Linked DNA regions of Drosophila melanogaster. The protein of the gene in region 2 interacts with the protein of the main gene of each other region in a pairwise test. Each region holds a gene or a part of one and is shown on either strand. Other genes may lie near its edges.

What was found. Proteins that work in one complex are often made in the same cells at the same time.
Region 1: the proteins of Vha68-2 (region 2) and lobo interact in a two-hybrid assay, tested with the Drosophila melanogaster proteins (one large-scale study listed by BioGRID).
Region 3: the proteins of Vha68-2 (region 2) and CG14442 interact in a two-hybrid assay, tested with the Drosophila melanogaster proteins (one large-scale study listed by BioGRID).

What each region holds. Positions count from the first base shown.
Region 1 is NT_033777.3:25,190,775-25,195,776, forward strand, and holds the start of lobo (lost boys), read right to left. Parts: upstream 3,003-5,002; 5' UTR 2,881-3,002; coding exon 2,464-2,880; intron 2,393-2,463; coding exon 2,264-2,392; intron 2,033-2,263; exon of another isoform or gene 1,511-2,032; coding exon of another isoform or gene 1-1,510. Other genes in the region: dan (distal antenna), read left to right, coding at 1-1,201; CG13653 (uncharacterized protein), read left to right, coding at 4,786-4,945. UniProt on the Drosophila melanogaster protein: Key component of the nexin-dynein regulatory complex (N-DRC), essential for N-DRC integrity. Involved in the regulation of flagellar motility. Involved in sperm motility. Required for the sperm to enter in the coiled storage seminal receptacle (SR) tubule.
Region 2 is NT_033779.5:12,972,403-12,979,109, reverse strand, and holds Vha68-2 (vacuolar H[+] ATPase 68 kDa subunit 2), read right to left. Parts: upstream 4,789-6,707; 5' UTR 4,667-4,788; intron 4,489-4,666; exon of another isoform or gene 4,364-4,488; intron 3,925-4,363; exon of another isoform or gene 3,887-3,924; intron 3,709-3,886; exon of another isoform or gene 3,641-3,708; intron 3,497-3,640; 5' UTR 3,474-3,496; coding exon 3,398-3,473; intron 2,985-3,397; coding exon 2,287-2,984; intron 2,179-2,286; coding exon 1,201-2,178; intron 1,134-1,200; coding exon 1,041-1,133; 3' UTR 503-1,040; downstream 1-502. Other genes in the region: Vha68-3 (vacuolar H[+] ATPase 68kD subunit 3), read right to left, coding at 1-210. UniProt on the Drosophila melanogaster protein: Catalytic subunit of the V1 complex of vacuolar(H+)-ATPase (V-ATPase), a multisubunit enzyme composed of a peripheral complex (V1) that hydrolyzes ATP and a membrane integral complex (V0) that translocates protons.
Region 3 is NC_004354.4:6,689,000-6,696,617, forward strand, and holds CG14442 (uncharacterized protein), read right to left. Parts: upstream 6,003-7,618; 5' UTR 4,958-6,002; coding exon 3,404-4,957; intron 3,115-3,403; coding exon of another isoform or gene 3,079-3,114; exon of another isoform or gene 3,074-3,078; intron 3,020-3,073; exon of another isoform or gene 2,683-3,019; intron 2,356-2,682; coding exon 805-2,355; 3' UTR 297-804; downstream 1-296.

The DNA of each region.
Region 1 (5,002 bases), on a different chromosome or scaffold from region 2:
CAGCCTCAATCTGAGCATCAAGAACGAGGGCAAGGGAGGCGATATCAAGAGTCCCAGTCCTTCGATTGCTCCTTCGCAAATGGGCGGGCCCATGACGCTCTCCAATCTGGCCGAAGATCCCTTGCTCTACTGGCTCAAGTCGCAGCAGACCATGTTGGGTCTGAATCCCCTTTATCCGCCCACAATTCCCATGGGCGTGACCAGTCCCCCTATCAGATCTTCCACGCCGCAGCACATGAGTCAGTTGGCACAGACTCCGCCGATACCCTCGGCTCCGCTAACACCCTCGTCCACACCGTCGGGCAGTCTGGACGAGAAGAACGCGGCGTGGTACAACTGGTGCAAGGCGTTCGGTGCCAGTCTGCATACCCTGAATCCCAATGCCGCCACCTTGGCCGCCCTGCAAGCCAACCAACTGCAGCAGCAGGTGGCCACCACGGCCGCAGAGGGGGGATCCATGGGAGATCCCTCGAACATACTGTACTCCCATCTCACGAAAGAGACTGAGACGCCGTCGGTGAGAAGTTTGTCCTCCAACGAACAGAATCCCGAGGCTGACGAGGCCACCGAAACCGATCTCGATGGCGAAGTGGAGCCGGAGGCATCCGGGAAACCGGAGGATCTCTCAGCCGCCGGCAAAGTGATGACCCCTTCGCAAAGTCCCATTGCCCATTCATCAGGCAGCAGGAGTCCCGAACCAAAGGCGAAGACCAAAACCCCAGAGACCACGAATTCCACAAGCGAATGCAAGAAGATCCTAGACAATATGCTCTTCAAGATGGGCGGAATGGAGGCCACTGGTCCGTTGATGCCGGAACAGGGATCCTCCGAATCGGAGGGCAGCTTCCAGGACACCAGCAATCCGCATACGAACAACAACGATGTGAGCGCCAGCAATAACAATAACAATAATAACTCAAACAAAACGGACGAGGAGGAGAAGGCCAAGTATCTGGACTGCACGGCGGACGAGGATATCGAGGCCATCCGCCATGGCGAAAAGTTCCTGCAGTGGCTGGAGAATTGCAGCAATCCCCGCGTGACGGCCGTGCAGCTGATGCAACTTCGTTTCCTAATAGCCGCCATCAAGTCGGGCAACGAGACACCGATGATCGAGAAATCCGCTTTGCCGGAGGACAGCGAGGAGCACGCCGCGGAGGAGGAGGGCAGTGGGCGGGGCAAGAGTCGCCGTCGCAAATAGGAAAAGCCAAAGTTGGCGCCCACGGAGCCAGCCACGGATACAGAGATAGAGGATAGCCCAGACGGTGCTCTGCACGATGCAGAGCCAGGACCCGGTGTCCTGGCTACAGATGCAAATGCAGATACCGCCGAGGGCTCGACGAGGTGCCATGTCTATGCGCCGGCCGTCTACCGATCGTCGGCCACCCTACTCAGCTCCCTGTTCTTCCCTCCCTACGAATTTGTACATTGTGACCTCGACGATGACCCCGACGACTGCCAGATCACGGGCGAGTACCAGCAGTACGACGAACTGAGCTCCAGCAGTTAGACCACATGGTTCCACGCATCCGGAGGACTCCACTGAATTTATCTCCTAGCTGTGAAACCTATCGAGCATACTTTCAGTATCTTTCAATTCAATTCGAATCCACTCCATTGCATTGCATTGCATTGTATTAATTAATTAATCGTACGGTTAACGTGTATATATCGAGAAACTCTATTTGTAGCTATTATGCATTTCTTTTTGAACGGAAAGACAACCGACTCTGTTTTGTTAGTTTGTTTTTTCACCCAATGATGCATTCTAGAAAAATGTTATAGCCCTTAGTTTTTGTTACGAAAAAGAAAAAATACTTTTCGAACTGCAAGGTGTGTTGGCGCGAATGGCATGCATTTGATATCAAACGTTTTTAAATTTCGTATATTAATAACTATGGAAATGTGCTCAAAAGAATTTTCTTAATTCGGAATTAATGCGATATTTAAATAAAAACATTTACAAATTTAAATGTAATTTTAAATACATGTTCAATAAAAAATAATTAGATAATTTTTATGAAACTCTTAGAACTGTCGTCGTATTTACTTACCGCTGTCGTATTGGAGGGTCTAAGTGGTTTTTCATATATATCTACTAAAATACCTAAATGTTTTACTTTTATATTTACAAGTATAAATTGCCTTGGTCAAGTTATTGAACATTTTAGAACGCATAAACTTTTAAATATATTGCTACATGAGCTCGGAACATAAGAATAATGGATATGTGATTGGTTCAACTTTGCCATAATAGACTTACCAAATTTATGGGATCCTGCAGTGGCTCATACTGAATGAAATCGGCGACAAACTTGGCAATTTCCTCGACACTTGATATGAGTTGCGTGTAAATAAACGCCGTTGGCCTGATGGTGGTGCAAACGAATTTCTGTAAGTTGGTTAAGAGTGGCAATTTATCAAAACGCTGGCCACTAAAGGAGCAGATGGTGCTGACTTCACCTGTACTTTGCATTCGTTGGGCAGGGCCAAGACCATGGCTCGTCTCTTTGGGTAGCTGAGAACCAATTGCTTCCGGAAATTCTCAGCGTACAGCAGGAGCAACCGCTCCTTGGGCGAGAGGGTATAGTACGATGGAGGATAGCACTGGGGACTGTTTTCGAACTCCTCGACTGTTTCGGGAAAGGATAAATCGATCTTTCCGATATTGAGCGATGGTTCTCCTTCGGATAAACTAAATTCACTAGATCCCATTTCCTCCATTTCCGCCTCGAACTCGCCCTCCATTTCATCTGCAAAATCCGATTCCGAACCTTGCGAGCGCCTCTGCTCGTCGATTTCCTTGAACTTGGCGCTATAGCGACTCGGGTCGATGTTGCTCACCACCTTCTTGTACTTCTGAAACAGTACTTTCGGCATTTTGGCGTGGTTACAATTGCCGGCTCTTTAAAATAATAAACAAGAAACTTCGTTTCTATAACTACGGTGTTTGTAGAAAAATATATATTTTAACGGCTAGATGTGACAGAAATTGAAATATGTATTGTGTTGTGCTAGTCTGTTCATTGTAGCAAATAAAATATATAAAAATTGTAATTTGCTTAAAAAACTTTCGTAATTCTAATTAGTTTTGTGTGGGTTTCGCTTGAAATAACTTCTTATAAGAACGAACATTTCCTTCTTCCGGTTGAAAACTTTACTTTACATTACTTTACTTCCTGATTCTGGTTTGCGTCTGGGCTAAATAACCGTTGTACTGGTTTGTAACTGCTTTGGCATTAGATTTGAACTTCTTTACCCTGCTTCGTATATCAATTTCTACTGCTTTTTTCTCGGTTAAGTGTCTACATGTAAAATTGAAGTAGGGTAACAATTTTACCCAAAAGTCTTTTTGTAACGAACATTTTTAAAATAGAGCAAGCAGGTTGTGAATAGCATATGGCCATCACCTTTTAGCAAAAGAATAGTAGTAAGCTTCATGTCATGAAGAGAATAACTTTAAAATTGACATTAGTATTTTTAAAATAGTAGGTAAGCCCTTGAACGATTGATTACCTACTGCTTTTTAGCCTTGAATATTAAGGCATAGCTATATTTTAAGAAAATAAAAAACTATTTAATTTCCATTCATTTCGCTAGTCATTTTCAATTAGCTATTTTTTCAATAGCTATTTTCTATAAAATTTGATGGAATGTATCAAAGTTATATTTGTATTATAGCACAGAAGGCACAAAACTTCCCTACTTATAAATATTTGGTAAATTGTATGACAAGTCACATATTTTAAATGTGAAAAATTGATATAATATATAGAACTACTTCTTCACCTTGTGCATTTTTTGTTGATTTAATTTAAATAAAGCTAATTCCACATTCAACCTAATCTTTTCCCTGGTTACCTACATACATACATATGTATATTTCGACTAACTTTATTTATTGTCATTATGCATATTACATAATTACCCGTCGAAAACTCAATGCTGGTCTTCCGCAGCTGCAGTGGCAGCGACAGTGGCAATGGCTTACTTAGATGGCACATTTTTTAGGGACCACCCCCTTGTCTGCATGCACCACAAATTGCATTTGCATTATTTATATTGCATCAATAAAACCCGCATTCAGGAATAATTAGCGAGCGCAGAACTTGTCGATGAGCAGGAGCGGAGACCAGCGGATTGAGATCGGCGCAGTTGATCCGTTTATGGCTGGCGCTAGGATTTATTTGTACTTCCTTTCGCATTTGAAAGGCGAGCGTCTACCTGGTGAGCCTGGTGAGAGCGGTACATTCATGAAACCATTTGGCGCTTTTAAGCGACTCAATTACGCACTTTGATTCCCACATTGGCCGCTAGTAGTCGCCTGTCGTTGGGTGTCGCCTTGCTCTGCCTCGTCCAGCTTGGTCCTGTGGCAAGGACTGAGGACTGGACGCGGTCTACCTGGCCGCCGTCTGAGGCAAGATGCGTAAGCACTAATTTTTGTGTGCGCTCAGTTTGCCGTTTAATTGCCGCGGCTCGCGCTAAGTGTTCCCTAGAAAAACAAAGGCAGGCGCTGCGCGTCGGAGGTTCAATCAAGCACATGTCGTCCTGGGCTGACTCCTTGGCCAAAAGTGGTCCTTGCGCAGGCGCCCCGGATGTCTCGAGTGTCAAGCGCCTTTGCAGCCATTGTCTGATTATCGCAGCCACGCAACGCTGATGTGCGGTTATGTCAATTAACGCGGATGCGGATCAGTCCGAAAGGATCGAGGTATATAAGGGTAGCTACGCAGGAGCACAGGACATCACATTCGCCACAACCACCGAACGAAGCACATCGATCTGAAGATGCAGTTGGGAAAAGCTATCATTCTGATTTTGCTGGCGGCCATCCAGCAAAGCTGCCTGGCTCTCTACATCAAGAGCGCGGAGAAGAATCCAGCCAAGACTGGGCCCAAGGACGATTGGGGCGTCTTCAAGAACACACTCGGACTAAGCCAAGAAAAAGGTGGGTTGCGACTTAGATTAAAGCTCATTTTGAACTCTTCACTAACTTTGTCATTAT
Region 2 (6,707 bases):
AGGGGGAGGGGGTACCGGATTGGATTTATGGTCATTACGTTGGCAAGCGCAGGTTGGACATGTGCACTTCTTAGCCGGAACCGTTGGGTGAGGCACGGACCTTGGCTCCCCATCTTGGTTTAACGATCCCGAGTTGCGGGCTCTGTCTTCGTTACTTGCGTTACTGTTGGTGAACGAGGTAAGCGGTGCAACCCAGGACTTCTTTTCCATTTGGTTTAAATATATACAATTTTTTCACTTGGTACAATTTTTACTAATATTGTCAAATAAATAAAATAAATGGGGCAGAAGTTTATGGAAAGACTAAGGTGATGACTGAGAATGATATAGGATTTTAGATTATGCTTTTCAATATATTCCCATTTTCTTAGCTTTCATATAGTCAAGTATGTTTATATAATGAAGGTTTAAAATTCAAAAAAATATTTTAACTTATTATCTTTTTATCGAGTTGACACATTTTTAATATCCATTCTGCTGCCAGTGAAATTCACTTTCAATTACATTAAATGTATTTGTTGTTGCACTTTATTCGTACATTTAATATTTCATACTTTAAATATTTACATAAATTTAACAAACAAACAGGGAGAAAACATGACTTTTTTCACAAATAAACAAGAATTTCCATTCATTAAACAATAATACTATTTATGCATGCATTTGTATTTGTGTCTTTTATGTATGTGTTGTGTGTGCGCCAGTGTCCGTGTACTTTTATTCAAGTGTATGTTGGTGTTGTTGTTGTAAATGGAAGTACATAGCAGGACGTTGTAGTTGCTGTTGCCTAGAGTTGCCCTTCAAGGGGCGGAGGGGGCGTGGTTAGGGGAAAGTATTAACCGCAGGCCGGAATGTTTACATCTCTCGCAGGCACCAAGAAGTTGTGGTATTTGTTGGACTTTTGTTTTTCATCGAATGCAGCACGGAATTGTTGGTGTTTGATTAGGCTTTTTCGGATGGTTTTTGACTGCTTTCATTTTTAAACGTTAACTATATAACAAATATAAGATTAGAGTGTAAAAGTAGGGCCAGCGCGGTCTCTAGTCCTCCAGATTTCTGAAGGCCTGCTGCAGGTCCTCGTGCAGCTGCTCGAAGTCAGCCTTGATCTTGGCCTCACCATCCTTAACGGGGTCCTGAAATGGATTGAAAAATGTGGTCACCCAGTGTCTAGGCAATGGATAAATTTGCGTGTTAACCCACCTTGAACTTCATGGATGACAGCTGGTACATAATGTTGCCCATTGCCTCACGAATCACGTTCCAGGTGATCTTGTTCTCAGACTGAGCCGTAGACTCCACGGAGTGACGGGCCATGTCGTAGAAGTCGATGATGTTCCTCAACATGCCCACGGTCTTGTAGAAGGGGCAGAAGCGATCGTACGAGGAGTAGGAGTTCTGCTGCAGGAAATCGTCCTTCAGCAGCTTGGCCACCTCCAGCGTGATCTTGTCGGTTTCGGCCAGAGAGGCCTTGCCGACCAGTTGCACGATCTCAGACAGATCCTCCTCCTCCTGCAGGATCTCCTTGACCTTGGTACGCAGCGGCACGAATTCGGGGAAGTTCTTGTCATAGAAGTCATCCAGAGCACGCATGTACTTCGAGTAGGAGATGAGCCAGTTGATCGAGGGGAAGTGCTTGCGCTGGGCCAACTTCTTGTCGAGACCCCAGAACACCTGCACGATACCCAGAGTGGCGGAGGTCACGGGATCGGAGAAGTCACCACCAGGAGGAGACACAGCTCCGACAATGGACACGGATCCCTCGCGCTCGGGGTTACCCAAGCACTTAACGCGACCGGCACGCTCGTAGAAGGAGGCCAGACGGGCTCCCAAGTAGGCTGGGTAGCCGGAATCGGCAGGCATCTCAGCGAGACGACCAGAAATTTCACGAAGAGCCTCAGCCCAACGGGAGGTGGAATCAGCCATCATGGACACGTTGTAACCCATATCACGGAAGTATTCGGACAAGGTGATACCAGTGTAGATGGAGGCCTCACGAGCAGCCACAGGCATGTTGGAGGTGTTGGCCACAAGGGCGGTACGCTTCATGATGGACTCGGTGACACCGTCGATCTCCACGGACAGCTCGGGGAAGTCACGCAGTACCTCAGACATCTCGTTACCACGCTCACCGCAACCGACGTAGATGATGACATCGGAGTTGGAGTACTTGGACAGAGCCTGCAAGCAAGTAAATGATTTATTAGGGATTGTATTTTTATGAAACTTGAGTGTATGGAGGCTACACGAGGCATCGCTCCTTAAATTCTCAATTTGTGGGACTCTCACCTGCGAGATCACAGTCTTGCCGCAACCGAAAGCTCCGGGAATGGCGGTGGTACCGCCCTGGACACAGGGGAAGAGCGAGTCGAGCACACGCTGTCCGGTGAGCAGGGGGTGGTTGGCGGGCAGCTTCTCGGTCACGGGACGTGGCTGACGCACTGGCCACACCTGCAACATGGTGTGCTTGGTGATCTCTCCATCGAACTCGGTCTCCAGGACGACATCGTCGACCTTGTAGTTGCCGGAGGGGGCGATGTAGCGCACTGTTCCCTTGGCGCGGGGGTTCACAATCATCTTGTGCTTGACCAGAGTGTTCTCATGCACCAGACCGTACAGGTCACCTCCGGTGATGTGGGAGCCGACCTTGACGTTCAGGGGGTTGAACTCCCAGCTGGCCACGCGGGACAAACTGGGCACGTTCACACCCTTGGGGATGTAGATGGATTCGGTCAGCTCGTTAATGTCCTTCAGGGGACGCTGGATACCGTCAAAGATGCTGCCCATGATACCGGGTCCCAGCTCCACGGAAAGAGGCTTGCCGGTACGCAGCACCGGATCTCCGACAGTTACGCCAGAGGTCTCCTCGTACACCTGGATGGTGGCCATGTCACCCTCCAGACGGATGATCTCGCCCACCAGCTCGTAGTAGCCGACGCGGACCAACTCGTACATAGCTGATCCAGACATGGCCTCGGCGGTGACGACTGGAATGAAGCGGTTGGTCGGGTTAGGGGGGCTACATTTCATTCAAGAAGTTTTTATAACTCAGCAAACGAAGATAGGTTCCATTGAACATTTTCTTTTAAAATTTTTTATTATTAATGATACTTGATGATGTTTTTGTTAGAATTATAGAAAAAAGTTTAAAGAAACAATTAATTAATTATTAAAATTATTCACATTTAATTTTGAATAATGAAACCAAAATGTTTGAGTTGTTTGAATATTAATCACAAATAGGTGGACACATTTCTAAAGTTGCCATTATTTCACACAGAAGTGTAAGTTCTAGACTAATCATCAAAGTAAGGTTTCCAGTTCACAGGTATTATTAACTTATTTTTATTAACTTTTAGATAGCATGAGTTATGGTTAGTCAGTATAGTTAGGTGCTTACCAGGACCGGAGACAGCGAAGACACGTCCATATTTGGACTCACGCTCCTCATCATCGAAACGCTTAAGGTTGGACATTTTGCTTTATTCTGTTTTTTCGACTGCAATGGAGGGAAAATAGAAGAGGAAAATTGTTAAATGCTGGCTGCAAAAGGGCGAAGATAAAGGTGAACATTTTCTTATCACTAATTTCTTGCTCAGCCCTCTGTCAGCTGACAAGGGGCAGGTGTATCTGCTACATTTACAGGTTAAGTTTTTGTAGAGCCCACAGCTCCCAAATTTTTCGATTATAGGTTATAAAGTTGTAGGTTAGCAGCTAATAATTTCGATTGATTTAATTATTTTTTTTTTAACTCCCCCTCTTTGATTATGCTGCGTAAAACTTTAAAAGCAGAGCTTTCGTTTCACGTGACAGAGCTTTGAAAGTTCGAAGAGAGCAATTTGTCAAACTAATCGCTAAATAAATAAAATAAGAGCTGTGAAAAAACAACCACAGGTTGACAAATTCAACGGAGGAATGTAACTGAAATGCATGTTTTTCAAAATATGCGGGTTTTCATAATTATCAGCAAAGAAAAACAAGAGAGGGTGGAGTGGGAGAGCAACTCTCCGCTCTGGCTCTCTCGCTCTCCATTCGAGTTCGAATATTTGACAATTGCTTTTGACGTTGATCACAAGACTACTGTCATTGCCGTCAGCTGACAAATGAAAAAAAAGTGGGTAAGGGAAATGGTAAAAATCTTTGGGCCGCCTTTTTTACGTCGCTCGTTCTCCATATTGGTTTTTCATTATCGGAATACGAATAACTCCCACTTCTGTTTCGAGTTTCGAAATGGGAGAGCAAGCGAGCGCAAGAGCGGCGGCGATCACAAGACCCGCGGTGCGACAGGGATGGAGCGAACACGGGGAAGGGGGTCAGCTGACAAGGCAAAATAATTTTCCACGCGCAAATTTTCACGTTTTCATACCGCACTTTTTCAAGCTCCTTGGAAAACTAATTGATATTCGGCTTTTTTAGGGATTATTTTACTCAAGTGTGGACTTGTGCTGCACTTATTATCTAACACACTTGCAGTCTGTGTGCGTGTTTTCGCTCTGCGCTTTGATCGCTGCTTCGTCACTTTTTCGGGGCGAATTCAAGACGGATTTCAATGCCGCTTTCTTTCGCTAATTGTTTAAATCGCCCAGAACCGTCTTCCAGCCATTCCATTATTTATTGTTACTTATTTGCTTTGGGTGGGTGTGTGTGTTGGTGGGGGGGAAGGGCTTACTTTGCTGTGTCTTCGCGTTCACCTTGCGAACGTGTGATTGCTGCTTTTCTCCAACAGAACGAACTAAAACCGACTGAGCCGCAGAAATAAAACGTCGACGCTCGCACTTCGAAAAGCTCTCTACCGCGATTCGATTTCGATTTCGACCCGTGTGATCGCGAGCTTTCCGCGGCGAGCTTGCAAGCGAAGTTGTGAGCTGATATCGAGTGCGAGCGAAGCTTTCGCCAATCGATGTGCGGAAGCGAGATGGAGCGAAAGAGAGCTAAAGAGCGGGTGGGGTCACACTGGCTTAAAGAAGTTCGTGGGTTGATTCTGAAGTTTTGGGAGTAAACGGGATCTTTTCAAAGTTGCTAATATCCAATTATTTTAAGTCCATTTTAAGTCCTCGATGATCAATCGGTCCAAATTAAACAATCATTTTCTTAGCTGCTTATAAAATCAATAATTAATTTGACACTGTATAAACGAGGAATATATAGCTTAAATACAAAACCTGCCATTGTATAGTGTTAAGTGCTCTCAATAAAAATGGCAATCAATTAGATTCCCATTTAAATGTCCAAAAAATGCAATTTTAAACTAATCAATTGTGGAAATTGGCCGGTGCGAGGGTAGACTAATAAGTTCACTAAAGCGCAACAACACGCCGTTAGCAATTATTTTAAAATGTTTATTTATCGTCGTTTCCCCTTTTTTTTTTATTACCATTTTAAGTAAAAAAAAGAAACTGACAGCGGTGGCAAAAACTTTGATTAAAATCCGCATCGTAAAAAGGTATTTGCCAATGATTTAAGTTTTTGCTGCCCTGCCCCTTTGTTTTTTATCCATTATTCTATCTTCCGTTCTTCTAGTTAGGATTCCACGCTTTCCCCACTTTTTTTTTGTGCTGTAGTAATCAATGAGAATGGAGCAGCGAAAAAGTTAAGATTAACCCGATCAGATTGTTTTTATGCTCTTGCGAATATACTTTTTTAACATAAAATAAATAGCACAATATGCAGCGATTATCAGATTTCTTTAAGTGGATTCTCCTTATTTAAAGAGGAAAACGAATGTGCTAATTGAAAATATTGAGAAATTCGCATAACCAAACTATATGTTTATAAGAAGTTTAATGTTTATATAACTTAACCATTTAATTTGTTTTTTATTATATTATTATCTTAGATATTTTACATGTGAGTGTAACAACATAATTGTACTTCTTTTAAATCATAATATGGCTAGAAAACCTCATTTAAATATTTTAGTTCTTGAGTCCATGCTAGTTTTTTTTTCAGTGTCGCTGCACTCAGCTTGATTTAGCTAAATTTTCGGATTGCAGTCAGCAAAAGTGGCAACTACAACGCAAAGCCATGCTAACATAGAAGTCGAACAGCGAAAGCCTCTATGTTCCCGAGATGCGAAGGATACGAAGGACACGCCAGGGGCAGAGGGTAGGTGTGTGAGTTCTGGCTCCCGCTCTTTGCATAACTTATAAATCGATGACGTTGGCAGGCAGCGAGAGCGCATCTCGAGTCGCAGCATTTGCATAATAAGGCAGCAGTGCATGTGGCATGAGGATCTGCCTGCGATTCATTGCAAATTTCTATCAGCCCTGTGAACGGGGATTCCCCTCACTGCAGATGTATGCGTATGTGTGTGAGAGTGTGTGTGTGTGAGTGATTGAGTGACTGAGTGTTTCGGATTCTGATTCGGTGTCAAAATGGCGCAGAAAAGTGCTCGACTGACTCTGCTGAGTGCAGAGCGCCAAAGTGGAATGAATTTGACACATCGAAACTGGGATATGCACCCTTATCCACTCGATTCCTGGGCCACTTTCCAGTGTTTTTCATAGTATGTCAGTGTCCTGGATAAAATCTTTGTCGTGTTTATCACAAATATGTATGCATTGAAATCAGCATTTTTGGCAACATTTTAGTGTGAAAAACTTCTAAGATGTATTCTTGTAGCATCGAAAACTTCGATTGTTAGACCATTTCATTAAACAGAAATGCAATTCTATTTCCAAAAAGCCATATACATATATTCGAAAACTATT
Region 3 (7,618 bases), on a different chromosome or scaffold from region 2:
TTAATTATGATTTTTATACAGATCCTCCAGAGCTTTTCCATCACCTGCACGCTGACAACCACTACCGTAATGAGTAGGAATAGAAAGAAAGAAAGGCTGCCTTTGGAAAAAATTTCCAGCGGATGTGGTGCGCGTCATGCGCGTCATGTGCGCGCCAGACGTGCAACATGCAAAAACACGTTCGCCTCTGCATTTGCTATCGATAACCGATAGCCACTGGCTGACCACACATACATCCCATACACCGCTGCCATTGACCGTTTTGTTTCGATCTTATTAGATTTATTTGTTATTTTGGGTTTTTTTTTTGCTTTTTTTTTGCTAATTTAAAAAATTAATAGTTAATACATACAACTACTTAGTGCTCTGTTTACGCGCTACATATTCTGGATTAGGTTTAGTTGGATCTCCACCATCGATCGTAGTTATCTTTTTATTTTAGCTGCATTTCTTCGATTTTCAGTGGCTTTCGGGGCGTCACAGTGTTTCATTTCATTTAGCTTTCTGGGTTTCCGGTGGACTTTTGTGCCTGCCAGGCATCCGTATTGCACTTGATCCTTGATCTCCGCTTACTCTGACTTTTTACAAAATCTACCATTGAAGTACATTAACACTTTAAAAAACAGATTAAAAAAAAATATACGCTTATTGATAACTATAGACAATCCCTACTGTTCGCAGATATCTCCATCGTTTGTGCGTCCAACGCCTGATATTCCGGCGGAAATGGAGGCCTGGCTAGCACGTCATCCACACATATCCCTTCTAGCGATTGGTGCTGCGACTGTGACGCCTCCGCGAACCTCATTTGGTCTTCATCACAATGATTGGCTCGAGTATCTTTAGCATGTCATTGTTTTCGGGTGCTCCCGTTCCACTGCCGCCGCCAGAACCAGCAGCTCCTCCTCCGCCTCCACCGCCGGCTGCATTTGCATAATCCTTGACCGTCTGCAGTTTACTGAAGCCAGGATGCTGCTGCTGATGGAGCTGCTGCTGCTGGTGCTGACTGATGGTCACCAGGCGGTGCTGCTGGTTCAACACAATCGCCTCGTGATGCGGATGCGGCACCAAATGTTGCTGCTGAAGGCTGCCGGCAATCTGCTGCAGCTCATGCTGCTGCAATTGCAGCGCCGGCAACTGTTCGTGATCGTTGGAGCCATCGCCACCGCCCAATGGTGAATCGTCGTTGTCGGCCTTCACCACCGAAACGAAGCCACCATCACTGCCCGTGCCAGTGACCGAAACGGCTTCACTTTCGTACATATGATGCTCGGCACTGGTGTCATCGTCCTGGCACTCATCTTCTTCCTCGGTTTTGGCACGGAACTCGGTGCTGGTGGCGCTGCTGCTGCGCGGCGTGTGGCTGCGCATGCGTCGCATTCGCGCATATTCCGCCTGCTTGGACAGTCGCTCCTTGCGCTCGTCCGTATTCTCGGTGGCTCGGATCTGGGCCCGCTTCAGTCGTGCCCGTTCGCTCAGCTTCTGTAGACGCGTGGCCCGCTGCTCGGGCGTCTCATTGGCACGCACCGCTCGCTGGTGTGCGGCCATCTTGTCCAAACGTATTCGCTTCTCCTCCTCCGTCTCGTATTTGTTAGCACCGCTGCGTCGCGGCGTCAACACTGGCGTTCGACTGTCGCCATCGGCCGTGGAATGTACATGAATCTGGCTGAGCTCCTGATGATGTTGCTGCGATGCCTGCGACAGTGGCCTGCCGCGACGCGGCGTACTGGTGGCCAGCTGCGGTGCGGACAGCATCTGATTGAGCTCCTGCTCCAGCAGACTGTTCACCTTTAGCTGCTCCTCGCTGGGCAACGGATTCTTTCGCGGCCTGCCCCTGCCAACAGGTGTGGTCACAATTTGTGGCGCCGCCGCCGACGACGCGCCTGTCTGTTGTTGCTCCTGCTGTCCCAATCCAGTGACCGTTAGCGTTGGATTCGCCGCCAGTATGTTATACTGTCCGGGACTATTGCCACCACTGGCGTTGGCAAAGTTGACGGGCGTAAACGGCGGCGGCACTGCATTCGGCCCGATGCCAATCTGGAAGCCATTGTGGTACATTGGATAGTAGGCGGTGGTGGTTGTACCGCCGGCGCCCGTTGTTGTACCCGCCGTTACCACGCCCACGTGTCCGACATTGGTGGTACTGGTGGTGCTGTTGCCGCTGCTGGTGGTGTTAGGGAAGGTGGCCAGGTAGGGGAATTGATTATACAGCTGCTGCGCCTGGCCGGGCGTCGCCTTAAGCAGCTTCTGTTCCCCGCTGGCCGTCGTCACGATCACCTTGGTCTCGTTGTGGCCGAGGCTAACAGACCCGCTGTTATCATTGCCGCCCGCTGATACCGTAGCATCGTTGTCCGACTGCAAGAAGGGATAGAAGGGATTGGCAAGCCAACGGGTGAGTCGGTTTGATTCTGCGGGTTATGGGACTATCGGTTTGGAATTCTGGTATAAATCTTAATCTTCGCAATCACAGCAATCTTCGGTAATTGAATTTTACAAATCATTGCAACCTAATTTCGTAATTTGAGTGATAAGATTGATTGATGTGATTGAAGGTGGTCTTATAGATTGGTTTTCGAAAAGAACCGAGTGCGAGTGATAGAGCGAAAGGGATAGATGGAGGACACACACACACACACACACGAACGCACACCTGTACAAGGGAATTAAAACCACTTTTTGTTTGTTTCTGGTTGGTAAAAGTATTTTGTTCTTAGGTTCAAGATTTACATTGCTACATATATCTACACTCTATACGATTGATTAATTCATTTGCTTCTGACCAAAAAAAAGAACTAACACAAGTAATATGAACAACGAACAATAATGTTAACTGAAATAAACTTATACGATTTTCGCTTTTGATCAAAAGAGGAGTTAAAATGCGGGTAAGGCAACGCGCAAAAAAAAAGAGAGGTCCATTGGCCGCTTCTTCTGCCAATTTCCATTGAATTCTATATATTTTCAAAATTCCTACTTTCCGGTTTCAAGCATTTTCCTTTGAGGCAGTTGATTTCGCCAACTGCAAGGAAAATATTTGAAATTTACGAGTATTGGCAATTGTTTGATATTTTACCAGCGCTACGAATTTGTATTCGATTCCAAATTCCTCTGCAACTGTAAAAATCATTTATTGTTATTATTCAGGAATCAAGCTAAATTAGGCTAATCATGTTTTGATTTTACGTTTACTGGAAGTAGATAGTGCCCTTTTTTTCTAATACCGATTAGATTTCAAATAAATAGTGTTTCTAGATAACAAATTACATTGATGGATTCATGGGCAAGATGAGGTTCCTGGAGGATGCCAAACTTTAGTTTTGCTGCGTTACTTTGTGTGTGTGTGCGTGATTTAGTTGCTATCGCCGATCATTCTTGCTATCTACTACGCCTACTGCATACGCACCTGAAGTTCCTGCTTCTTGGCAGCATATTTGTGCGGGTAGAGTTCCAGCTGGCCACCGGCGATGCTGAAGTGCGGCACATGGGCCTGGAGCAGCTTTGCGGTGCCCTTGCCACCCTCATCGCCATAGATCTGCTGCACAAAGATGCTGCCCGGCTCGGTGCCCTCGAGCAGAGCAGCCGTAACCTGTTGCTGCTGCTGTCCGGTGATGGTGTATCGCTGATGCTGCTGCTGCAGCTGCTGCTGTGTAATCTGCTGCTGCTGCGGCGTCTGTGGCTCCTGCTTCAGTTGCATGGGTGGACGTAGGGAGCCGGGCGCCAGAAACATGCCCTGTCCCATATACTCCACTCCGGCCAGGGCCTGGTGTTGCTGATAGGCGGCTGCTGTCACCAGATGCTGCTGATCCTCCGCGGGCTGCGGGGTGCCTGCCTCGTCCGTTGTCGTCGTCGTCGCTGTGGTGGTCGCCTGGTTTAGATTGATAGTGTGTTCGTTAGTACAATTGGCTGCCGCCGCTGCTGCGGCTGCTGCTGCAACAGCCAGCACCTGCTGCTGTTGTTGCTGCTGCTGTTGTTGCTGCTGTTGCTGCTGCTGCTGCTGGTGGTGGTGCTGCTGGTCCGTTGACGACGAGGAGGATGTCGGCGTTGAGACGACCACCGACGACGAACCACCGTGCACCACAACATGCTTCAGTACCTTCTTCTTTTCTCTGACCTTTTTGGCATAATCGTTCAGCTTTCTCAGTCTTTCCTTCCGCTCCTCCGGTGACTCATTGGCGATCCTTTGGCGCGCCCTTGCCGCCATTTCTGCCAGCCGGAGCTTTCGCTGATCGTTCGTCTCGCTGGCGCGATACATGCGCATCCTTTCGGCCAATTTGGCCAGCCGTTTGGCCCTCTGGTCCGGCGACTCCATGGCCCGGCGTAGCCGTTGCCTGGCCGCATTCCTCACTAGCCGCATGGCCCGCTCTATGTCGGATTCATTCTGGCGTCTCTGGCGATTGGCTTCTGCATTCCGGAGTAGTCGCTTGCGATACTCCTCCTCGCTCTCGCGCTGCCGGCGTTCCCGCATCCTTTCAGCATTTCTGGCCAGACGGCGCTGGCGTGCCTCGGGGCTCTCGTTCCACCTCTGCTGGTGGCCAGTGGTGGAGGCACCTGTTATGGATGCGGAACTGGCACTGCTGGTGGGTCCCAATGGAGTGGGTGGCTGCTGCGATTGCTGCTGCTGCAATTGCTGTTGCTTCAGTGGTGCATAAAGCTGGAGATGCTGTTGCTGGAACTGCAGTTGATCCTGTTGCTGCTGGTGAAGATGTTGCTGCTGGAACTGTTGCTGTTGTTGCTGATGCTGCTGCTGCTGTTGTTGATGTTGCTGCTGTACGTGCTGCTGCTGTTGTTGCTGCTGTTGCAATTGCAGCTGGTGATGCGAGGAGAGTGGTACCAACAAAGCTGAGGGATGCTCGATGAGCAGGCGGGCATTGGAGCCATTGATGGCCAGCACATGGGTGGCGTACTGCTGCTGATCAAGTGAGGGCTCTATTTTTATCCCATTGGGATCTGGTTCCATTCTTGGTCAAAAGCCGGGGCAACAACAATCGAAATTGTCGTCTATCGGGGCTCCAAAAGTGTACTGTTTGTTATGTATATATATATATTTATATATATATTTATAGATATATATCTATATATGTGTATATAGACGATGGGTATTTGGTTATCGAAAGGATGAGCGCAGTCCTTCCGATTGTTTCGATAACATCTAGGGGCCGCGCTCTTGCTCGCCCCCTCTCTTTCGCACGCTCTGGGCCGTCTCCCGCTCTTTTTTTCGTCCGCTGCTCCTTGGCGTTTCCTCTTTGTGTTTGTTTTGTTTCGCTTTTTGCTTACTAGTAGTTATATAAAGAATATGTGTGTGCTGGCGCCGTTTCTCTCTCGCACTCTATTTTTGCGGCGATCACTCCGCTATTGTTATTGTGGTCCTCGGGCATTTCTTTCGTTCCCTTTTTGGCTATGAGCGGTATTCTTCTTCTCCATTTTTAGCATTATGCACTTTATTACCGTTCGTATTTGGCCATTACAATTTTTCGTGCGTTTTCATAAAAGCGTGCTTCTTCTTGCGAGTCAGTGACAATTGGCGCCGCCGCCGCGCTGCTTCTGCGCTGCCAATCGATTTTTCACATGATTATACACACACACCCATGCAGCCGCCGTCCGCACACACAAGCACGCACTGCTAAACACACACACACACACGCGCAACGAAGCAATACGCAACGTACGTGTGTGCGAGTTTTTTTCCGCTCCTTATTTTGCTTTTTGCACAAACCTTAACCCTTTGATTTGTAATTCCATTTATTCGCCGTGCTGCGGTGCATCCAGGCGCCTTTTCTCTTGGTGGGTTAAAAGGATGTTCTGTGGCGGCGCAGCGTTAACTTAACTACCGGGAATTTTCCACATAGCTGGGACCAGCGTATATCTGCCACTTCCGATCGCACCGTAATGTCATTAACTTGAAGTATGCGTACTTGTTCGCAATCCGTGGTACTGTATCTTTAATTTAATTTAATTCATCTTATTTCAGTTGTTTTCATTTCAACAATCGTTCTGTTCACAGTAGGGATGGTAAAAAGTATCGATACATCGATAGTTGAGCAGGCTGTCGATTCATTGGAAAATGCAACTGATTAACCGATGTTCCGCTTGAAATATCGCCCGGGTTTATTTTACAATTTGGAAATTAGTCTTGCAGGCAGATAATATTTATATTATTATTTGGCTGCAGTTTTGCAGTACCATATTACAGAATATATGTACTATTTTTCCATACTTAATGTTATAGTTAGATCAGCTTGTCGATAGCTTGATGTTTGAAATCGATTTTTTAAAAATCAAGCGTAACGTCAAGACATGGATAATTCTATTTCAATTGTAACAAATTTTCGCCTCTTGGCCACACTGTTTTAAAGCTTACTTTACATAACAATCAACTATGTTATGTTATGTTAACAGGGCATTAACATTCCAAAGCTTTCAAATCTTTTTGAAATGAATAAATGCGATTTATAAAAGTGAATTAAACTATTTATATAAAATTAGAAACTATATTATTTCCAATAAGAGCATTTCGTTGATAATCGTAGATAATCGTATATATAATAGGATTAGTTCAGTAGCATGTGCTGAATGGAGTTTGTAAATTATTTATATTTTATATTTAAATGTATTTTAGATGGGAGTTTTTAATTTGTTTAATTGCTGTGATACTTAAATGTACAACAAGCATACGGATGGCGATCCTGAGAATGGGACCCACCCTTCAGGTTCATCGAGGACATTCTGTCAGATTTGAAGGAAATTTTCAAAATTGTAGTGTTATTATCAACCATTCCTGATCATTTCCGGTTGATAACGCTTTTACTTTTTTTTAGATTATCACTATTCCCTATTAAATTCCCACCAAAGCTCAGAACGCAGCATTTAAAAATTGTGAATGCAACTTTATTCAAGTATATTCATTTTGTTATTCTCGTTTTTTTTCGCTTATATTTTTCTGTTTCTGTTTTCACTTTCTTGGTGTTGTGTTTTGTTTGTTGATTTTTCTTGTTGTGTGTTGTCATTGTTAGTGTACACGAATATTACAATACACAAAAATGTATCTCAATCTTATGTCTTAAGGCAAAAAACAATTGATAAACGTATTTAGACAGGAGAAAAACAATTTGAAATTTCGACTAGAACTTAATGGTTACACTTTATTAATAATAATTAGCATAATATATATATATACATATGTATATATATGTATATATAAATATATATCATGTATATATCATGTGGGCCCGCGCGGAAGGACATGGGCGTGGGAAGAGGCTGAGGATATGGATAAGGATAAGGTCTAGGAAAAGTGGGCGGTTGGATGTTGGCTGGGGAAGGGAGGAAGGATTGCGTGCTTTAACAAATATTGCGTTATGTGCCTGGCTACGGATCATGTGTGTATGCTCCAACTATATATGTATATATATATATATATATATATAAATTTGTATATATACATATATTTATGTGGGAGCTGCCGAGTGTGTGTATATTATCCTTATGTGAGTGGCGCTGTCCGTTTTGGGTTACATGCCTTTACCAACTTACACACACATATGGGGGTTGTTCGTCACTAGGGTGCCTCAGTTGTTGTGGAAAAATACGATTTTTGAATGTTATAGCAAGTTTCGCCCGA